3 linked regions of the Caenorhabditis elegans genome follow. The gene in region 3 interacts genetically with the main gene of each other region. Each region holds a gene or a part of one and is shown on either strand. Other genes may lie near its edges.

Evidence for each region.
Region 1: of unc-84 (region 3) and fcd-2, changing one enhances a phenotype caused by changing the other (phenotypic enhancement), as found in Caenorhabditis elegans (one study listed by BioGRID).
Region 2: of unc-84 (region 3) and lig-4, changing one enhances a phenotype caused by changing the other (phenotypic enhancement), as found in Caenorhabditis elegans (one study listed by BioGRID).

Annotation. Positions count from the first base shown.
Region 1 is NC_003282.8:15,022,956-15,028,990, reverse strand, and holds the start of fcd-2 (FANCD2), read right to left. Parts: upstream 3,286-6,035; 5' UTR 3,271-3,285; coding exon 3,198-3,270; intron 3,145-3,197; coding exon 2,754-3,144; intron 2,706-2,753; coding exon 1,598-2,705; intron 752-1,597; coding exon 620-751; exon of another isoform or gene 522-619; coding exon of another isoform or gene 284-521; intron 219-283; coding exon of another isoform or gene 143-218; intron 65-142; coding exon of another isoform or gene 46-64; exon of another isoform or gene 13-45; intron 1-12. Other genes in the region: Y41E3.8 (Glycine Rich Secreted Protein), read left to right, coding at 46-64, 143-218, 284-521; Y41E3.7 (Golgi resident protein GCP60), read right to left, coding at 3,810-3,996, 4,356-4,615, 4,741-4,862, 5,551-5,589.
Region 2 is NC_003281.10:7,518,866-7,525,953, reverse strand, and holds lig-4 (DNA ligase IV), read right to left. Parts: upstream 4,492-7,088; 5' UTR 4,485-4,491; coding exon 4,364-4,484; intron 4,312-4,363; coding exon 4,012-4,311; intron 3,965-4,011; coding exon 3,651-3,964; intron 3,602-3,650; coding exon 3,479-3,601; intron 3,217-3,478; coding exon 3,003-3,216; intron 2,958-3,002; coding exon 2,807-2,957; intron 2,757-2,806; coding exon 2,661-2,756; intron 2,612-2,660; coding exon 2,160-2,611; intron 2,110-2,159; coding exon 1,999-2,109; intron 1,952-1,998; coding exon 1,805-1,951; intron 1,685-1,804; exon of another isoform or gene 1,599-1,684; intron 1,439-1,598; coding exon 1,242-1,438; 3' UTR 1,084-1,241; downstream 1-1,083. Other genes in the region: C07H6.2 (E3 ubiquitin-protein ligase PPP1R11), read right to left, coding at 4,622-4,945; akap-17A (RRM domain-containing protein), read left to right, coding at 5,257-5,379, 5,430-5,792, 5,847-6,005, 6,052-6,177, 6,356-6,471, 6,514-6,598, 6,649-7,027, 7,080-7,088.
Region 3 is NC_003284.9:13,582,513-13,591,193, reverse strand, and holds unc-84 (Nuclear migration and anchoring protein unc-84), read right to left. Parts: upstream 6,420-8,681; 5' UTR 6,415-6,419; coding exon 6,218-6,414; intron 5,724-6,217; coding exon 5,443-5,723; intron 5,391-5,442; coding exon 4,562-5,390; intron 4,503-4,561; coding exon 4,060-4,502; intron 4,002-4,059; coding exon 3,738-4,001; intron 3,258-3,737; coding exon 3,102-3,257; intron 3,051-3,101; coding exon 2,593-3,050; coding exon of another isoform or gene 2,581-2,592; exon of another isoform or gene 2,523-2,580; intron 2,518-2,522; coding exon 2,197-2,517; intron 2,145-2,196; coding exon 1,872-2,144; intron 1,812-1,871; coding exon 1,698-1,811; 3' UTR 1,373-1,697; downstream 1-1,372. Other genes in the region: col-9 (Nematode cuticle collagen N-terminal domain-containing protein), read right to left, coding at 1-838, 992-1,159; srf-5 (WAP domain-containing protein), read right to left, coding at 8,594-8,673. UniProt on the Caenorhabditis elegans protein: Involved in nuclear migration and anchoring in hypodermal precursor cells. Most likely recruits anc-1 to the nuclear envelope where anc-1 functions to tether the nucleus to the actin cytoskeleton.

The sequences.
Region 1 (6,035 bases), on a different chromosome or scaffold from region 3:
TATACGGTTTCCAGGGCGAAAAAGTGAAGAGAAACCAGTTCAAGCATGGTTTATATCGATAAAGGTGAGTTTTTTCTTGACTAAAATGCTAAAAAAATCGATAAAAAAAAGCAATTTTGTCCCTAAAAATAGGATATTTCAGATGGAAATGTGCTCGAAAAGAAGCAAAAAGGAATTGTCGAGATGATCGTCGGATTCTTCACATTTATCATGTTATTGTGAGTTTTTGAATTAGGAAAAATCATTTTTTCAATAAAAATCATATATATTTTTTAAAATTCAGCTTCCGCTCACTGCTCGGCTTCACATCTCCTACAAACCGAAACAGCAATTCTCAAGACTACCGGAATATTGTTCGAGGCGGCGGAGTTAACGGAGCAGGCGGCGGTGGAAATGCCTACAGGCGGAATGGAGGCGGTGGAGGTGGAGGCGGAAGAAACATCGGAGGACTTCCAACATCATCCGGAGTCGCTCCACCACCAATGGGAGGCGGTTGCTGTGGAGGAGGTGGTTGTGGATAAAATTTACGATTTTTTTCTGTTTTTTTTTGCATTTTTATTCGATTTTTTGTGTGTTTGTGATATTTGATGTATTCGTTGTAAATATATAAATAATAAACCTGAATTTGCGTTGAAAATTCCTGAATTACACTGGAATTCGTTGATTTAATAACTTTAAAGAATACATCGAGGACGGCTTCACATTCGGTTTCACTTTGGGAAAAGTGCTTCATAAGTTCGGTGAAGACTTTCTGAAAAAATTTATTAAATTATATTATTGAGAATTTTGCCCTAAAAACACTCAAAATTGTCCAAAATTCCAGAATATCACAGAAAAAAAGTGAAAAAAAAAAGCATTTTGTTTGAGTTCCCTCCAAAACCTGAACTGCGACCAATCAACGATTCGCACCGCCCACTTTTAAACCAATCAGACGAAGTGGGCGGAGTTTGAGGATGCTGATTGATTGGAAAGTGGGAGGGGCGAATCGCTGATTGGTTGCGGTTCTCGGTTTGGAGGGAATTGAAAAATCGCGGTTTTTAGGTTGAATTTTTCATTTTTCGCTATTTTCGGTGGTTTTTCTGAAATTAAGACTGTTACTGATGTTGAGAGCACCCAGAATAGAATAAATTTCCAAAATAACATAAAAAATGAAAAAAATGGCGAAAAAATGAAAAATTCAGCTTCAACGACCAGATTGTGTTCAATTTCTCTTTTTCTTTTCGTTTTTTCGAAATGAAATTTCGGAAATTTAGATTATTTTGGATGTTTAGAACGCTATTAACAGCCTTAATTTCAGAAATACCAACGAAAGATGAGAAAAAATGTCAAATTTAACCAATTTTTTGCTAAATTTCCTCCAAAATTAGTAGATGAGGACTGCCACCAATCAGCGATTCGCTCCACCCACTTTCGAACCAATCAGCGTCGTCAAACTCCGCCCACGCCGCCTGATTGGTCTGAAAGTGGGCGGAGCGATTCGCTGATTGGTCGCAGGTCTCGTTTTGGTGGGAATTTGAAAATCACGTTTTAAGGCTGAATTTTTCAGTTTTTCTTCGTTTTCTCAGTAGTATTCCGGAATTTTCGACTAACTAAGCACCTCTCTATCCCGTTTCTCCATTCCAACAAACAATTGTTTCCACATTGAAACACCCATCTGTCGAACATTTCCATCCGACGACCAGAAGCAGTGCCGTGCCACGTGGATTAGAGCCGGCAAGTGACACGTGGCGAATTTCTTGCATGAAATGACAAGATCGATGATTCGAAGAAATTTCGTGGTGAATGCGGCCGGAATGTTCAGGATTTTCGAATTAACCGCCGCTACGAACGTCGGCGGACACGATTCCGTGTTGGAGAGCAACGAGAAATAGAGAAAAGCCTCGAATGTGGTAAGCCACGTGGCAGATTCTTCCTCCGGTGGCGACGGGGTCTCTTCTGAATCCATATCCTCTTCCGGTTTAGTCGCCACCACAGGCTTCTTACTTTTGGAAATCCACGTGGTTATGTGCTTCCAGGCGCGTTTATCGTTGAGTCGGAAGAATTTTAGAAAATGACCGAAAACCTCGACGATTAGCGAATCAGAAGATGGTTTGCTGGTTTTCTTCTTGAGACCATCGATTTTCAGAAGACGAGCGAGCTGACGGAGCATCTCATGAAAATGAGCTTCTTCATCGTCGGCCTTGCCTTGAAAAACTAACAAGCTTCCCAGAGAGAACGCGACGAGGGATGGAAGACACGCCGGATCCAAATCCATGCACAAATTGCAAAGATCCATTCGAATCTTCCTGGCGGTGCCGGGATCCATGCGCAGAAGCCGTAGAGTTTCTATAATTTGCAGCTGAAACGATGGAAGACCGGGTACACCTTGTGTCTCTGAGCATTCCTTGTGAAGCCGGACAGCGGTGGATTGTTGCAGAGAGATATCGGTGAAGATCTCTGGAAGCGCGGCGATCAGATCATTTCTGACGTTGGGGCTCCAGAATCTCCATTGAAACTCGAAAATCGTGTTGAACACGGCTTGTGGTTCGAAGAGCCGGCTTAAGTGGCGCATATGGGCCACACAAGTCTGCGCCAGCAGCAAATCTCTCTCATCCTGCCGTTTTGCTAGAATATTCAGTTTTTGAAGCAAAAAATCAAAGGCCTTGGTTTGCGTCGCTTTGATTTGAAGAAAAGCCCGGAAAATTGTGTCCTGCAGGCCGAATAGTCTGAAAATACACCACATTTAAGCTCATTCACGATTAAAATCTTCTTACGATTTTGCAGGGCTCAGAAAAAGAGCCAACATGTCTTGATCACTTCCACAAGCCAACAGAAATTCCGCAAACGTCTCTCCTCTATCATTTTCCATTCGTTTTTCCAAATTTCGACAGAGATCCTCGCTATTTAAATTATTTCCAAAAACGACACATTTCTCATAGCTTCCCATCTCCATATCCATCATTCCCTCGTCCTGATCGTTCACAATTCTCACATTTTCCTCTTTTAAAATCTCTTCGAAGCGATTTCTCGGCGTGACGTACGCATTTTCAGCATAGGAAACGTGATTCTCGGCGCCGGCTCCATCCAGATTTCCGAACAGCTTCTGAGTCATTGCCATCGAGAAATTTCGTCGATTTCCGGAATTGTGGCGATCATCAGGATCATCTGAAGTTTTGTTGATTAAAACGGGAAAAAATAAAGAAAATTTGAGTTTTTACCATCTTCCACGTGTTGGGATGCAGCCACATGACTATTTTCATCATCTAGAATGTCGAATTCTTCATCTGACATATTTAAATCCTGAAAAATAAGCAGAATTCAGCTGGGAAACAATTAAAATTAATTTCAGACAAAAAAACAAAATTTTTTAAAATTCAAATTCTCACAACGACACTCCGAAATCCCGCATGCTCCATGGCGCGAAATTTCGATATTTGAATTCTAACTCTCTCCTTTTCGCTTTTTTCTCATTTTAAAGTAAATTTCCAACTAAAAACTCCAGTTATTCATCATTTATTTCGCATGAAATACATTATAAAATAGTTATTTCTCTGGAATATTGCGTTATTGTATCAAACAAAAAAAAAATGAATTAAAGACGGGGAAAGAAGAGGCGTTCAAGGAGAGAGACATCGAGTATAAGTCCGGATTCCCAAAGAAGAATGTAAAACCGACGATATGGTAAGAAAAATACAAAAAAAAGAGAAATCTACATTTTTTAAAGTCAAACGAGATGTTTTCATCTGGAAATGATGGTGAGGATGCAATAAATCAATTATTTAGAAAGAAAAAATAAATTAGCGGCTTTTGCAGCAATTATTTTTAAGAACTTATTTACTGTAGTAGACACGATAGTAGAGCGTCTTCGAACGCCACAAAGAATACGAATTGTCGAATTTGAGCAGATAAATTCCGCGACCCGGATAACGATGACTTCCCGCATACACTTCTTCGTGACAATCTCGACGATACACCGGAATTATTTCATCCTGCCGCGGCTTGTTCGGATCAACACGTCTGAAAATGGCCAATAATAATGAATTCTAAAATGGTTAAAGCTATCAAAGGCTTTATAAGGCCTTTATAAGCCTTTTTTTTAATTTCTAAGCCGGCTTTCAGAGGTTCTATATGTATTGAAAATACAGAGTTTCAGCCTCAGCCTCAGCCACGACCGCGACGCAGCTGCATAGCGGAGCGGCTCAAACAAAAAATTTTATTTTATTTTTAGCCCAGAATGCGTGATTTTTTGTCATTTGTTTGTTTTTCATTCTGCATTCTAGAAATCTGGACCAAAAAATAAAATCAAAATTTTTTGTTCGAGCCGCTCCGCACGCAGCTGTGTTGCGGTCAAAAGCTCCGTCATTTCAAGCAGCTACCTTGTCTGCATGGCTCCAGCTTCCACATCTCCTGGTCCACCCTGTCCAGCGGCTCCTCCACCACCACCTCCAGCTTCCGCCTGCTCCGCTTCAAGTGCTTCATCATAATCCTCCTCATCATCGGATTCACTAACGTGCACCGAAACTTGATTACTGTCGGCTACGGTCCATTCAAAGTAGACACCGAAACCAATATCGTAGTGATCCGTCGCGAATTCCCAGAATAGACATGAACCATTTTCGTGAGTTGGGACCCGGACCTAGAAAAATTCAAAATTTTTATAGTTTTTGAACCAAAATAAGGCACAAAATGCACAAAAAGCAACGAATTTTCCGTTTTTTTTTCTGTTCATTTTTTCGTAAAAATTCCAAAAATTGCCCGTACCGTCACCGTCTCGCCGTGTCCAACTTTAATAATTCCCTCGTGTCCGTCTTTCTTGATATTCGCCTTGAACTCATTAATATCCTGCCGATTCCAGAGTGAGGCGGGCGAAATTGCAGGGTTGGCTGGAAAAATTATTGAATTTTTGAGAAAAACTTGTGAATTTCAATAAAAATCACAGTAAATATCCAAAAAAAAGTACATATTTAAAAATATTTAAAAGCAATTTTTTTCGTGCAAAATCTCGGCCGTGGGTCCTGGCACGCCTGGAACTTTTTTTAAACCATGTACCTTTAACGCTAAAATACGGTACCGGGTCTCGACACGATAATTTATCTTTAAAATACAGCAGGGTGTGCGCCTTTAAAGAGAGTACTGTAGTTTTAAATATTTGTTTCTGTGGGGTTTTCATCCATTTTTCATAGAATTAATTCTAGAAAAATAAATTTTCAACGAAAAACTGTGAAAATTTCGCAAAACAACTGAAGTTTTGAATTACAGTACTCTTTAAAGGCGCACGCCCGTTCGAATTTTACAAGCGTGTCGAGACCGGTTACCGTACTTTTTGCGTCTGGATAATAGTTTTTTTTAGCTAACAAAAAAAAACCAAAATCCACCATACTCTCGGTTACTGTAGCGCCTATAAAGTCCCGATCGTGCCAGGACCCATTTTTTCCGCAAAAAAACAGATTTGTGCATGAAAATCACGACAAAATAAGGGGAAAATCATGCAAAAAAAGAATTCAATTCACAACACATAAAATACGGTTACAACATTGTGTGTTTTGCGGTGAAAAATGATGAGAAACATACAGTGACAGAAGAGGCCCATATTTGCGTGAATTGAAGACACTACAAAATAATAGGAGGAATAGTTGGAAAATGAAACACAAAAACGTGTGTGTGTGTGAGTGTAAATGTGTGAGTGTGAGTGAGTTTTCAAGGTGATTAGTGTGGTTTTTTGCTAAAATAGAACTCAAAAAAGGGGGTAAAGGAAAGAAAAAGGATTCTATGTTGAACTGAAAAATTATTTATTTATTTTATTTTTCAAATGGGTACAATAAATGAGCACACCTTAATATTTTTGTTAATTTAGTTGTACGTGGAGTCAGAAAAGTCTTTTTACGGTTTGATCTACAAAAAATGCGGGAGTAGAGACGCAGACATCTCATCTGATTTCGCATAGTTAAGATCGTGCTGACGTCACAATTTTTATGGGAAAAAAATCCCGCATTTTTTGTAGATCAAACTGAGAAGAGACAGCCTGACACCACGTGTGAGAGCAGATTTTTATAATT
Region 2 (7,088 bases), on a different chromosome or scaffold from region 3:
AGGTCGGTAGAGAACTCAACAATTATTTTCCTTTAATTTTAGAGCCATTTTCTAAAAGTTGTCTTCTACTGATAGAATTAAAATGCACATTACCCAGACTCAAAATTTTGCGACTTTGTGGCAAAAATACGATAGCCGGTCTCAAAACGACAACTTTAAAAAAAAATTAAATGCGAGAAGGTCTGCACCTTTGAAGAGTACTGTAATCTTAAATTCTCGTAGCTGCGGAATTTTCATCGATATTTATAGTTTTAATCACGACTTTAAAAAAATTTATTGTTTTATTCGAGTTTTTAGATAAATAAATTTATTTTGATCGAATATTTGGAAACCCCGATTAAACCTACAGTAGTCTTTTGAGGTGCACAAATTTTTGCATTTAACGAAAATCTGTCGTGGCAAGAGAGGACAGTTATAGAGCAGTAATCACAAAATTTCGCTTCTGCGTAATACTTCTATGTTGGTCACGATCTTTGTTAAGTGCTATGGATCGTGGCGAGACCACTTTTACAAATACGTCGGAGAGTTTTACAAGAGAGAAATATGGAAATTGCAGAAAAGCTGAACGAAAAAGCTGAAATAAATTCAATACGCGAAATGTTTCTAAGATCAATTGGAATAGTTTATACAACTATTTTACGGAAGAATCTGAAACGTATGGATAGTAGAAAGCAGGAATCAAAAAATGAACACTGACAATATGAACAGTTCTTAATTTTCCTTAAATTTATGTTTCGAATTTCCTTTCTAAACATTGTTCATGCCATGCAAAACTACCGTAATCCGTGCCCACCCCCTGGTGGTAGTTGAGTGTCAGTTGTGTGTCTCTTGTCGAAAATTGATCGGTGTCTTCGGTTCCTCTTCTTCTTCTTTCGTAGCTGATGCCACTACTGCTGTTTGGTATTTTTGTGAATGTTGTCGCATGATGATGCAGAGATGTCTCCAAAGAATTTCAGGGATCTGGCGAGAAAAAGGGACTTACGAGTTATCCTGATAAAATCTCAATTTTCAAGAGACACTGTCAATCCACGGAGGAATAATGATTTACGGTCTAATAATAAACAATTCTTGGACAAATCACTGATGTGTTATATTTTGTTATATAAGATGACAAATTGGTAAAAGATTATTCATAGATCAATATCATATTCACAGGAATGCGGAGAACAATAAAACTGCATGAAGTAGATCTATCAAAAAGGAAATAAAGAGCGATATCACATATAATCGAAATTAGTAAATTATTCCTGAATCTCGAATCCACCTTCGATGGCATGAAACACATCAGAAGGCAACCAAGCCTGAATCAGATCATCTTTATTGCAACGTTCGAGCCAGGCGGGTTTCAGAACAGTACAAGAGTTCGAAGCGATGGCTTGAGCTGTTTTAGGGTGTGTGGATTTTGGAGCAGTAGCAATACATAATTTGGTGGATGGAGCTGAAAAAAGAAGTTCATATTGAAGATCGGATAAAAAGTCTAATTTTTAGAAGATTATATTTCATAATTAATTCACACAAAAAATATGCGCAACTGTAAATCAATCAGATTAAACGTTGTCCGCTCGAGGGTTTCAGGATTATCTTTCTTGTCTTTTGGCCCACTTCAATTGATGAGTAACACCACTAACACAGACCAGCTGGCCGCTCTGAGCCGACTCAACACTTGTACTATTTATCACTGTCTCTAGCTTGTGTATAAGTAGAAGGATATGAGCACAATGGTGACTAATGGAATTTTGAGTTTGTTGTGCGGGGTATGATGACTCGTTGAAAACGACTTCAACTTGAAAACTAAATCACTCACTTATTCCTTTCACTACAGTTGCATCAAAATGTTTCAAGATCTCTTCACACTTTCGTCGAATTGTTTCAGATGTTCCCTGAAGAACGGCGACTTCAATTCCAGTCAAACTTGACTCTAATTTGGCACGTTTCAGACGAACAGGAGCTGCTGTAAATTAAAAGAATAAATCAAAATTAAATTTTCTGAATGTCTACATTGATGAATAGCTTTGCGGGTAATTCGTTCCACTTTCAAAGTATCTGGTTTCTTATCTTCAGAATCTTCTTCATCACTGTCCACGTTATCACCCAATTTACATTCTTGAACTTTCTGAAATACAAATAATAATTCTTCGCTTCCGTTTAAAACTTGACACGTGCCGTTGCATAGTCTGAAAATTCTTCCCAAGTGTTGACCTGTTCAACAGGCTTATCAAGTCTCCACTCTCTCATAACAGGATCAACCAATTTTCCGTTGCGAACACCGTTCGATGTGATTTTAATCACTTGCCAGCGCTCGAAATCAATGTATCCACCATCTCCTCTGGCAATATTTTTCGGTCGTTTTCCATAAAATGTGAGCTCTTCAGGAGCTTCTTCTAGGAGTTGCCCATACTCAAAACGAATCGCCTCGCGAACAGTGTCAGAAAGTCCATAAGAGCATGAGAGGCATAGCTTGTAATCTTGAGTTTTCTCATCAAAAGCCGCAAATCTGTAGAGCGTTTTTCCATTCCTTCCAGCTCCTGGATGTACAGCAACTAGTGCCAGATCTAGATCACAGTCCTTTGATGCAGACGGTTTCAGCTTGAACCATCCATTAGAAGCGCTTCTGAAAATAAAGAATAGACTTTGAACTAGAATATTATTTCCAGCTTTACCTTTGTCCTTTCACGTAAACACTATCTGTTCTCTTCACAACGATTCCTTCTTCATTATTTGCCATTGCTATTTCAAAGAATTGTTGAATGTCCTCTCTGAAAAAAAGTTGATGAAGACCCAAAAATTATGAATGCTTTCGACAAACTTTTTACTCCCCTCCTCATGTTTCGCCACAAAAATTGTATCTTCTCGTTCTTTTTTCAGTGGAGCAATCTTGAGCATCTCGAGTCTCTGATGAAGTGGTGCTCCAAAAAACGGTTTTCCATTTAAGTACAGTAAATCAAACAAGACGACGGCTGAAATGTGAAGTTTTTGCATAAATTTAATTCATTTCAACTCACTTAATTGTTGATTATCGTCAGGTTTGACATGTCGGAATGATAAAACTTGAGCATCTGATGTGGTTGAAGCATCGTTGTGACGGCAAAGTTTTTTCGTTTTCTTATCCCATAACATGAGTTCGCAGTTGAAAATTGCCGATTCACATTCTTTATTGAAAAATGAATGTATACGACTGGAGAGCTTTCCGATTGCCATTGACGAATCACCGTATTCCTGAAAATCCCAAACTGGATACAATTTTTCGAATAAAAAATTTCTAAGTTTATATTTTGAGCCGACTTTTTTTAAATATTATTTTTATTTCTGAATTTTTAAACATATTATTTAGATGTGGATCACAGTACATTGTTAAAGGCACACACCTTCCTACATTTTACAGAAAAGTCGTGTCGAGACCCGGTATCGTATTTGGCCGCAAAACTTCGCGTCCGGGTAATACCACAAATACGTAATAAGTTATTAATCAAAAACAAACCTTCGAAAAATCATTGTTATTTCTTGTAAACCATCGATATTCGTTTCCTTTCTTATGAAGCAGCACATTCTCTCCATCGAATTTTGTTTGCAGAAAGAATTTCTGACCTCCAAACTTTTCAATCTGTAACAATAAATTGTACTTGAATTATGAACTGAATTCCAAAACTCACATTTGCATACCAGTCACCTCTTTTCTGCTTCTGAAGTAACATGGGTGTCCATATTTTAAAAAGATGCTCATCGTCATCATCATTTGTTTCTCCTAATTCGTTGGTTCCTTTGTTTTCTACCAATTTTCCTTTTAGAACTGCTTTCAAATCATGTGTCTGATCCCAAATAGCACAAGCAGAAGGCGATATCCAGTCGAGAATCCTGTTACTTGGGGCTCCAAGAGCTGATTCAACGTTCTTAAGAATTACGTTGAAAATCCATTCCAACTCGTCTTCAGAGCATCTCTTAACGAGTTTCGACATCTTATCTCGTTCTGAAAACTTTTTTTTGAATAGGAAAAGGTGTAAGCCAATAACTGACTGTTCCCATCATCCATTGGTCCCGCCGCTAAGAAATCAAGAATTTCGTTCAACTCGGAAACCGTGACTACTGTAGATTCATCATTTTCAGTTCTATATTCTTCAGAAATCTTTTCAGCCAACTGACGAGCTGCTGTTGATGCATCTTTCGAGATAGTTGATACGTAATCAGCCCTGACGTCGTGAAAAGTTTTTGCCATAAAGCTTGCCAACTTAGTCGGTCCCATGTCGAACTTTCTGAACCTCTCGTAATCCGAAACGAAGAACCGTATTATGACAAACATATCAGATGGATCAGAACCTGAATTTAAAAGAATAACGTCACATTGTAATAGTTCGCCCAATTGTCTTACACTTTTCTTTCCATGATTCAAAGTTTTTCTGAAAGGTTGCTTGCTTTGATTTCACATTTGAAGTCCGCCGAATCTTGTTGAAGACGTCAACTACTTCGTCGAAGATCACATCTGACGCCATGAAGATTCTTCAAAAATAATTTTATTGAACATCTATTCGGAATAACGAACGAAAATAAATAAACAAAAGTATGCACAAATTTGGGAAAGAGACGGACAATGAGGGGTAAAATGGGAAAAATCGATTATGAAATATGCTCAATTAGAGCTCTTCGGCTCTTCGTTCTTTTTGTGCTCGACGTGGCCACGACAATGACCGGTTTCACAATCCGAATCAGAATCCGAGCTTGAGTCTTGCCAATTTTTGGGCTTCTTGTAGATACAACAGCATTTGCTCTTCTTCTTGCCCATTCCTTCGTTATCCACTGTTTCGGTGGCCCAAACTACGTGTCGCCGTTCTGAAGTTGATGGCTGAGCTGGATTTGGACTAAGATGAAGCACCAAGTTCTGTTCTCGAGATGGAGGAACGGTGACAGTAGAGGTTTCAGTGCTTGAAGCAGTTTGTTGTTGAGTGTGGCTCATGTTCTGTAATTTAACAATATTTTTTTTTAATTGAACGAAAAATAGTGGAACAAAAAATAAGCCTGACAAATTCTCGTGAAATCAAGTAAACAGCAACAAAAATGTTTCATAATATTTTGTCCGAGTGGACTTCAAAAGACTGCATGGCCTAGAATCCAAATTCATTCCTCGTCCCCATGTGGTGAACTCCTCTCGGACAACTTATTCGAAGAACAATTTTTCATCGAATATTCGATCGAACTTCAATTTATATCGATGTTTCTTCTATTTTAGTGCAAATTTTAATCAAAAAAATTAAACCTTTTGTCAACATGGCGCGAAATTTTCCCACTGCTCTCGATTACCTGGGATCAGAAGCTGAAGATTTTAACAAGGCGCAACACTTGTATCTGAAACCGATGGCTGTTATAAAAATTACCGTAGTGCTGCCTCGGGTACGTTTTTTTAACTATCATAATTACATCGATTTATTATTTAATTGTAGATGACGATCCCGGGACAATCAATATCTAATTGGGATCTCATGGAAAGACTAAAACGTGCAATTGATCCAATTCAAATGGATTCTTGCAAAGTTCGTGAGAGCAATATCGACAGTGTTATTTTTGAAGCGGAACTTCTTTCGCTAGGAATCATGCAGAAAACGATGAAGATTCTCGATGGATTCTCTATGAAAGTGTCTGGATTTGCTGAGCCCTTGAAAGTTAAAACAAAAGAGGCAAAGCTTGATTTTCCAAGTCGTCATGATTGGGATGATTGGTTTATGAAACATAAGATGGACGAGATGAAACCCGGAGAACGTCCTGATACAGTTTATTTGGCAAGAATTCCAGTGAAATGGTTCTGCGTACGTTGCTCCATAACATTGCATTCGAATTTATTTCACCAAACACATTTTTAGGATGGTTACAATGATCTTCCTTCTGAACGACGTCTTCGCGTTGCAATGGAAGCGTTCGGATCTGTTAGAGTTGTCGACATTCCAATTTGTGACCCACTCCGATCTCGAATGAATTCAAAAATCTCTGGTATTCAGCAAAAAGGTTTCGGATTAGGGCAGGTATCGCAGTGTTTTATTTGTAAAATCAAACGAATTGAATTTTTAGGATGTATTTTTTGAAGCATATGTGCAATTTATGGAGTATAAAGGTTTCGCCACTGCCATGGATTCCCTGAGAAATCGTAAATGGGCAAAACGAATTGATGGACGGTTCTTTCAGGCTAATGTCAAGGTATAGTAGGGTAGTAGAGTTAGTTTGCAATTTTGAAAAATCTATCACATTATTTCTAAACGTTCAATATCAATTTTAAAAATTGCATATTCTTCGCTGAAACGAATCACCTCGTGCCACTCTACAGGTTAGTTAATTTCCCAGAATTAAGGTTGAGAAATAGCTTAAAATTTCATAGGTGGATTTCGATCGATCACGTCATCTCAGCGAAGTTCAAATTGCAAAGCGAGCGGAAGAACGACGTCAAATTGAAACGGAACGACTGCGGCAAGAAGAAGAGGAGTTGAATATCAAGTTTGTTGATGCTACAATTTTAAAAATAACTCACCTCTTCAGACGTCAAGAAGAACTGAAAGTTAAACAAGAACTCGATGATAAAGATAGAAGACGAGAAGATAGAGAACGGAAACGCCGCGAAAAGGTTCACTTGAAACGTTTCAAAAAATCATAATAAAACATACGAAATTTCAGAGGGAACTCGAACGAATGGCTGAAGAAGAGAAAAAACGCCTTGAAAAGGAACGACTTGAAGCAGAGCAACGATCACGAGCCACTCGCCGTTTGCAAGGTGTTCGTCTTTTGAAGTTTCTGTTTGAAAAAATTGAAGCACGAGAAGAGAGACGAAAGAGAAAAGAAGAAGAAAAGTTGAAAGATGAGCTGAGCAAAATCAAAGAACTTGAAGAACAACCTGTAGAACAAGAAGACGCATTGAGGCAAGCTCTACTTCAGCAGAGGGAAATTCGAATGCGAGAACGCTTGAAAGAGAAGATGAAAGCTTCAGGAGCAGAGAAGGATAAGAAGAGAGATAAAAATAAGACTTCTAGAAGAAGACGAACTAATAGACATGACAGTGAGTTACCTTAAAATTATTGTCTATTTTTTAATTAAACTTTTTTTTTCAGCTTCATCCT
Region 3 (8,681 bases):
TGCCATCTTCGAAAAATACTCCTCCATCCATGGCACAATACTTTGGACAAACACCCTTTTCTCCATGTCTTCTTGATCCACCACTTTGCCCTGGAACTCCAGGATTACCGTCGCTTCCTGGTCTTCCTGGTGGTCCTGGTGGTCCTGGCAGTCCTGGCGGGCCAAAGCCATTTGCTCCATTTTGTGCATCCAAGCCTGGTGGCCCCATTAGTCCAGGAGGACCCATTGGGCCTGGTGCAGCAAACCCGACGATTCCGCCCAGCACCGATTGTCCAGGACTTCCTGGTTGCCCTGCCAAACCGTGGTTACCAGGCTGCCCGGGCGGTCCTGGTGGTCCTAGAGGTCCTGGTAGTACGTTTGACATTGACTGACCTGGTGGCCCCATTCCACCGGGCAGGCCGGGCTGTCCGTTCAGACCTGGAGGGCCTGGGGGTCCCTGTGGACATTGTTGACACTGTGATTGAGTTCTAGGTTGGCAAGGCGATGCGCCTAGTCCGGGCATTCCTGGCATCCCGTGACCACCTGGTCTTCCTGGTCGACCTGGTTTTCCTGGGTGGCCAGATGGACCGGGAGGACCTGGATTGCAGCATCCCATGCAGGTTCCTCCTTCTGACGCAACAACAATTCCGCTGCGTGGTGGGCTTCTCCAACCATTATTCTTCTTTTTCTGGGATCTATACCCAGTATTATAGCCGCGGGGTTTAATATTGCTTCCTCTTCCAACAGCGTAACCAGTGTTACCTTCACCTCTAGTAACAGTGTAAGCTTCGCGAATTGTTCGATTGTGGACGATGTCGACATCTTCGGTCATATCAAACCAGATTTCGTTTATAGACTTCTGAAAATATTATACTCTTAATTGCCGCAAACTTCTATGTAAAATGACAATTATGTTTTGCTAGGAAGAACTTCAATTACTAAAATGTTCAGGTATACACTACTAAAAACTATTTCAGCACAAAACATTACTAATGCTTAGTTTATCACTCACCTTGCAATATGCTCCTTCTCTGCTAATAGTCATCATTCCATTTTGTGCATGCTCGTAAATCAACGGTAGTGTTACACAAAGAAACGCTGTAGCTATTACTGAGCTTCCAACGACAGAGTACGCCACAAATTTGAAAATTCGTAATTTTAAATCTACACAGGACTCCATGAAAATTGAAGAAAATACAATGTTAACGCTCTCGCATGGTTTAGTATATATAGCCCGAGGAATACAAAAGAAATGATCAATGAATGTGTTAGGCGGTATACTCAATTAATGTCGTTTGCTGCGAATCCATCGGTTACGGTTTGTTATGCCAATCTAACACTTATTCACTCTTCCACATAATGGGTTTTAGTTCAGTTTTACAAGAACAAAAGATATTGAAATAATTTATGAAAATCGATAAAGTATTTTGAGATCAGGGGGTAAAGGCTGCAGAGAAATAGAGAGTGATTGGTTTTGCATTCAAATATATTCAGGCCAAGTATTCAGGAGACCGGTAAACTGCATGAAAATGTAATGATATTCTATACTTTGAAAAAAAATGGACACGCGCTAAAAATATAACAAGGGAACTGGAAAAATTTGGGAAAATGAATTGTGATTTGAAAAATTGGCAGGAGAGGGGTGAAATTGAAACATTTCGGAATCAGATCAATGGAAATTGAAAATTTGACCATAAAAACAAGATTAACAAAATAAATTAAACTTGAACAACTTTTCCATGAACACGAAGGCGGTAGAGACATGTGAACGGAGCTCCGTAATTGCTTGTCACCTCGAGCTCCACAAACTTGACAGGAAAATCGGGTTTGTGCTGAAAATGTTAATTCGATAATAGCCACACACTTGTCAAGAATTAATCATTCGGACTTACCTTGGCAAGGAAGAATTGAAGTGGCGGGCCATCAAGATCATAAGTGTAGTCGCCAATCAAAACTCTCGAGTTCAGGTCGTCAATCTGCTTGTAAGCCCAAACGAGGACTCCCTTTGGAGCACTCGACCGGTTCCCTTCTGGAGCAACTTCTGATCCAATGTGCTCATAGCTGATGCTAGAAACATCAATGAAATGAGACAGCTCGACAGCAATGTAGCCACGGGATTCTTTGAAGCACCAGCATTCCCCAGGAAACAGGGATTTGGAATTTCTCTGAAAATGAAAAGATAATAGGCTTGGAGTCAGAGGATCCTAAAGCGCTCACCTGAATGACAACTCTTGGAGAGTAATGGAAATAGTAGATTGGGATATCCCAAAACTTTTCCAGCCTTGTGTAGCTTTTGTACGTCTCCGAGCATCTTGTTGACACAACAGCTCCACCTGAGCTCTCCAGGGCATAGTCAACTTTCCCAGTTTTATCCGTGTCATACTCGTAGATCATTTGACGGATGATAGCTTCCAAATGATTCTTATCATATTGAATGTTGGTGTTTTCCATTTTCAGTTGCTCAATAATTGTGTTGTAGTTTTGCTCAAACTTTGCGCTAAGCTCTTGCTGGAATTGGGCGGACAACTCGGCGCGAAGCTAAAAATAACAAAAATCTTTATTATGTACATATGTACAAAACATCAATCATTCAATAATTGATTAGTTAGTTACCTTCTCCGTTACCTCCTTAATGATAGCATCTTTGTCAACAGTCTCAACAACGTTAGTCTGATGGATAATTACTGGGGCCGGAGTTGGCGCTGGGACTGGGATAGGTTTAGGTGCGGGGGCGGGAATTATCACTAGTTCTTCGTCCTCCACATCGGTGACTTTTCTCAGTGGCTCTTCAACAATACGCTCCACATCCGGAGTTGGGGTAATAGCTTGTGGAATTGGAATCACTTGAACAACATCTTCTGGAGCATATTGGCTGATGCGAATCCAAGCACGAGTGCACAAACTGAATGGGTAGGCAATGAGGAAGAGAATCCAGTTAATTACAGTTTTGAGCACGGAAACCACGGAGTTGTACACTTTTCCAAAGACTGCCGCTACCTCATTGAAGAAATACATGTAGTTATCACCAGCAAAGTTGAACACTCCAGCGATTGGTGCATAAATGAAGTTATCTGAAGAAAAAACACCATTTAAGTTTATAGTTTGAAAATTGTAGCACTTACAAAAAATGTTAGTGATTCCGGTGCCAAATGACTTGAGAAGAGAAAGAATGGAGTTTTGGGAAGAAGTAGAAAAGTTTAAGAGACCGGCAAAGATAGTTGAGAAAAAGTTGTAAACAGCATTTGAAGCATTGTAGATGAAGCTCTTTGTATGGCCAACTGTAAAAAAAGCGATTTTCTTTGGTTTTTTGTAGTGTCTTTCTTGTTGTAAATACAAATAGTGAAAACAGATAATATCATTTTTTTACGTGTAAATGGTACTTGCTGGTACTACAAAAGTTTTTTGATGTTTCAAAAAAAATTAAATAAAACGTGAATGGTATTTTAGGCTTAGGATTCTACTCAATTAATAACTCAAAAAGTTAATAAGTTCTAAGCCTGAAAAATAAAATAATACTAGCATGTTGCTCAACACTTTTATTTCCATTTTATTTCATTCGTTACAAACATTTTGGAATTCAGTTTTCTATTTCACAAATACCAAGTAAATTACTGTTCTGAAAAATAAAAGCTAATACTCATGTCCCATTGATAAGATGTTGAAAATTACTAAAGATTTCCAGCATAATGGATTGATCGAATTTTAATTTTTTAAAGTTTTACCACATTTTGACTGCATACAATTTGTATTTTCCTTACCAATTGCTGTGCATCCGTTGTACAAGGTCTCGTAGCAACCGTTGAAAAAGGTTCCGATAGACTTGTTTGCTGACAAGAACCCATCTGAGCCATAGTAAAATAGCTTTCCAGCACAAAAATCGATGAATCGAAAACTCGATGAGAGCACAGATTTTAAGCCATTTCCAACAGCGCCACATCCGCTTGCAATCAGGTCCCAAGCATAACGTGGAGTAGTGCCAAGTCTACCAATCGTCGACTTTCCATAGTTGTACGTGTCAAATGCTGGAATTTAAAGATGTTGTTTTCTACACTGAACAGAAAAATGAGATTTATAACATACCAATATCTACAACAAATTCCTTCACCATCCATGTGTAATGTTTAACGTGATTTGCAGCTGAAATCCAGATTGGCACAGCTGGGAGGGATCCTTCCGACTTCTTAGATGCATTCTTATCTTTGGTAATTTCTTTAACTCTTATTGCTGTGTTGTCAGATGTCAGGAATCCAAGGAGAAAGATGGCGAAGAGAAGAGCCAGAAGTAGACCGAGAATTTGACACCACGAGAACTTTGATGATTTCTTATCGGTAAGACCAGCAAATAGTCCTCCAAAATAGGAAACTGTCTCAACAATTCCTCCTTTGAACATTGCAAATACCACTTGATGCGCTTCAACGATTGTTGCTACGAATGAGCTCAAGAAATCGGCAATTCGAATTCTCCAAGAAACACCAACAGCATCATGAACATCTGATGAACTTGGTGCCGGTTCGTTGATATCTCTGTATAAATAACATGAAAAAAATTGAACTCGGTCATCATAAATTTAAAATGTTCATACCTGACATGAATAGTCTCCATTGGCGCTTGCTGATAATTGGTCAGCTTCATGTAGGCACTCTTTCCATAATCGTAGAACGTATACCATACATGTCGTGCCGCAAAGAACGGGAACAATATCAAGTAACCTAGCCAAGTGAATGCAGTTTTAATCTTATTTCCTGTCGCTTCTTCGTATTGATAATTGTAAGTTTCTTGTGGGAACAAAGGCGTGGAAGTTGCAGCAGCATGACCAATGTCAAAAGTTGGTTCAGGAGTATTCAGATGACTCAGTCCTCGGCTTCGAAGTCCATATGTGGAGAGTGGTGTGTCGATTTCGAGTTCCGGAGTATCGAGTGCTCGAGTTATAGCTTCACGAGTGGCACGGGTTTGGCGGAATCTTGGGGTAACTGAGCGTTGCTTCACTGTTCTAGTAGTCACAACAGTCGGGGTTATATTTTCGGACGTTCCTTCTCCGAATGGAGAGCTCGAGAACACCTTGGCAGTGATTCTGGTAATTGTACTAGTCTTCACAAAGGCTGGAGCTGCTCGGCGTGCTGGTGATTTCGATAATCCATCAAACTTGCGGCTTCTTTCCAATGTTTGAGATCTTGTCGTCATTCTGCTAGCTCTCTCATTTTCCAATTGATCCTTGATCGAACGGTACTGGTACTGTTCCACGCCATTGTTACTTCTTGTGAGCATTCTGTAAGGAGTAAGCACGACGTAGACAAGGATCTCAAAGAATCGACGAATAGAACGAGCAGCCTTAGTGGAGAATGGCTCTTGCCGGTTGCGAATGAGAGCTGTACGGCGACGATGATCTTGGTAGGCGTAGTAACGAGTTTTCGCTGAAAAAAAATTTTTTTTTTAATTCTAACATTTTGCAGAAAAACAACTTACCGAGTTTCACCAAATACAACAGGTAGTCCCAGATGGTGAAGCTAGTGATCTTGATGACGTGGTAGAAAGCTTCCAAAATGTAGGTGATGACGTGAAGAACAAGGTAGACGGGGAAACGGAGGATATAGAGAAGCTGTCTGCTGAGACTGGCCGCTGACCAGTGCTCCTGCTCAGAGAGTGATCCTGAAGTAGTACCACCAAGGTTTGGCACTTCCCAGTGGTCCGGCAAGGATGGATCGTAGATTTTGCTGTATGCGTATGTGTAGTTGGTTGCGTATGGTCTGAAAAAGAAATTATGAAAATTTTATTACATTAGGAATATAAGTTCAACATTTGAAAATGCCAGGAAAAGTTAATCTTCTATTATAGGTTTCGTTTCGCCTTGGTTTTCTAATTTTTATACAAGACTTGTAAACACTACATATTTAAAATTAAACAACCAACATTCACACAGACTTAAAACTCAAAAAGAAACGGAACCACCAAGAGCTCACTGGTAAGTGACCTTTATTCTTCTTCTTCCCGCTCAGATTCCTTCGCCTTAACCCACCCTTGTAACCCGATACTTTCTGGTGTTCTACTTTTCCTCTTTTCCACCTCACTGCTCAGAACAACACAGCTTTTACATATTTGTCAAAGGCTTCTAGGGCGTCAAGTACAAGCAAACTGAGTTCCAAAATACACAAACAAAACGTGGCCTAGCAGGTGCGCGTGAAACCTCGGCCGTATGTGGCGCGAAATTTGAATGAGAAAAAGGGGGAGGGGGGTAACATACAAGTCGCCTGTCAAAGCATCCAGCTCTTCTTCGGTAAGACGTGGCGATCTGGCGTTTCGAACTGGTGGAGTCAGGAGAAGCTTCCGGCGAACTTTTGCAAAAATGTTTGGAGAATTGCGTCCAGAGCGTGTGGATGCGAATTCCGATTTCCATTCATGGGTGTCGAAGTTGTTGTCGGCTTCCGTTGCGGGAGCCATAGTACCTGCAAAACACAATTTTAAGGAAGATATTAAAGATATTAAAGAGCGGTGAAAAAAGAAGTATTGAAGTGAGAATAAAAAAGTAACAAAACTTGCAAGCATCGAGTCTCTGTCTTTGTTTGATTTTGAACTACGCATGATTCATCGCACCAAAATCTGTGCGCTTTACAGAACGAGCAAACACTTTTATGAAGACAAAAGGGCTTGAGAAGGAAGAAGACTGGGAGACGTTCGTGTTTCTCACGATTATAATCACCTGTTGGTTTTGATGGGCTGAGAAAAGAATATATAATACTGCCTGATTTTATTATGAAATTTAAGAGAAAAAAACTGGCAAAAAAAACAAAACATATCACATCACAACAAATTAAATACGCAACTTTTCGAAACATCGCAAGGCAGAAAAAATTCAAACCAATGTTGTTTGTGTGCTCACCCCGTCGGGCCCTCCGTCTCTTCACCTTGCACACTATACTCGAATCGATATTGTTTGTGTGAGTGTTTTTCTGGGCGAAAGGAGGAGAAAGGGAGGGCACACACATACACGCAACAGTGAGCGTCGATTTAATGGTTTCGGTCGGTCACCCCAGTCTCCAATCGCCATCACCCCCGCCGAATGGTGCAGGTGGTGGACAGCAGATAGGGGGAGAGGGGGTGAGGCAGTGTGTTTTTTGTAGAGAGTAGTTGTCTGGCGTACGGTGACAAGCGATGGAACCGAGTGAGGGAGTGTGAGATGGGAAGAGAGAACACCAGAGAAGAACATGCATCTACGTGTTGCCCTCTAAACACGTAAACAGGCCGAAGGAATTAGGCATCATTGCAATGGGCAACAAATCGGTGAGAAGTACTGTGAAAGAATCGGAAGTGTGTCTCGCCTTACCACGTAACCTTGAGGCTAATTTACAAGCCCAATTGAAAAGTGTTGTAACGATTAGACACAGTCAAGAGCAGATACGGAGAAGTTACTAGTTTTCAATAAACGTTTGTAGAAGAACATGAAATACATATCAGTACGTCAGATATAGGCTATCAGTAAAATAAACCCTCAACCAAAAACACAAGCACAATCTGCGTGTCCACAATGTTTTCCGCTTTAAGTACTGAACTATGTCTGTTTTTTTTATAAAGCACAACTTCCAGATCAGTTACTTCGGCCTGCGTGGAAGGTTTGAATGATTTTAAATTCTCAAATCAATCGCATGGCTCTGATCTCTGGTGTTGTTTTTGTTGACTTTTTCTACAATTTTTGAACAGTGATCTATTGGATTCACATGGTTATGAAACTAACAAAAACTACGGTGTTTATTTACTATAGCAAAACTTTTTTCTAATTTTAACTTTTAAAAATTGAAATCAGGTTCTTCTAGAATATTGAAAATGCCGCTTTTCAAACTGAAATCAATTTTTTGAGTTTTTGAAATCAATTTTTTGAGTTTTTGAAGCCTACTGCCAACTTTTTGAAAAACTAATTCAAAAGTTTTCCAGAAGATTTTCAATTTTTAAATTTTTTTGTTGTATTTTCATGTCTATTCACAGAGTGAAAAATATTAAAAAAATATATAAAAACCAAATTTATCAAGAACTAATCAGATTTCCCATTCTCAAATTTCCAAACATCTTGATCGAATTAATCGGGATTTTGATGGGTAATCAAGTGTTAAATATGTTTTAAAGAGGGAGTAGTTTAAATGGGGAAAACATCAAAGCTTATAATGCAGTGCATACTGAGGAATTAAAAGAGAAACTGAACATTTTTTTGAAAAATGAGAGAATATGCTTGAAAATTTATTATAATTTTAAGTAGACGCTCAAGTTTTTCATTTTCTAGATTGATTTTTTTAATACAAAACTTTCTGTTTGTTAAAAAAAAACAAGTTTATATAACAGTCAGTGCGCGCGAAATTCAAATTTCATCCACTTCAACTATGTTTGTCGCTTTAGAGTAAAAAATTATCGGTGTGAACTTTTCTCACTCTTTTTCTCAATAACGTCCTTTTGACTTGCTTCGTTTTCAAAAATAAAACACAATATTTTTTATGGAGAAAGTTTGAAAAAAAAAAGAAATTGAGCGAATAGGAAAAGTGAAAAACGTTTCTGCAAATAAAGCTAATCCAAGAGAGCAATGAGCAAACATTGACGTTCAAACGTGAGGAAAAAACGAAATAAAGAACAATTTTCAGAGCTCAGCATCTTCCATTTCTGCTTCTTTAATGTCGGCTTCAATTTCTTGTTGTCGCTTCCATTGGTCAATTTTATCTGGAAAA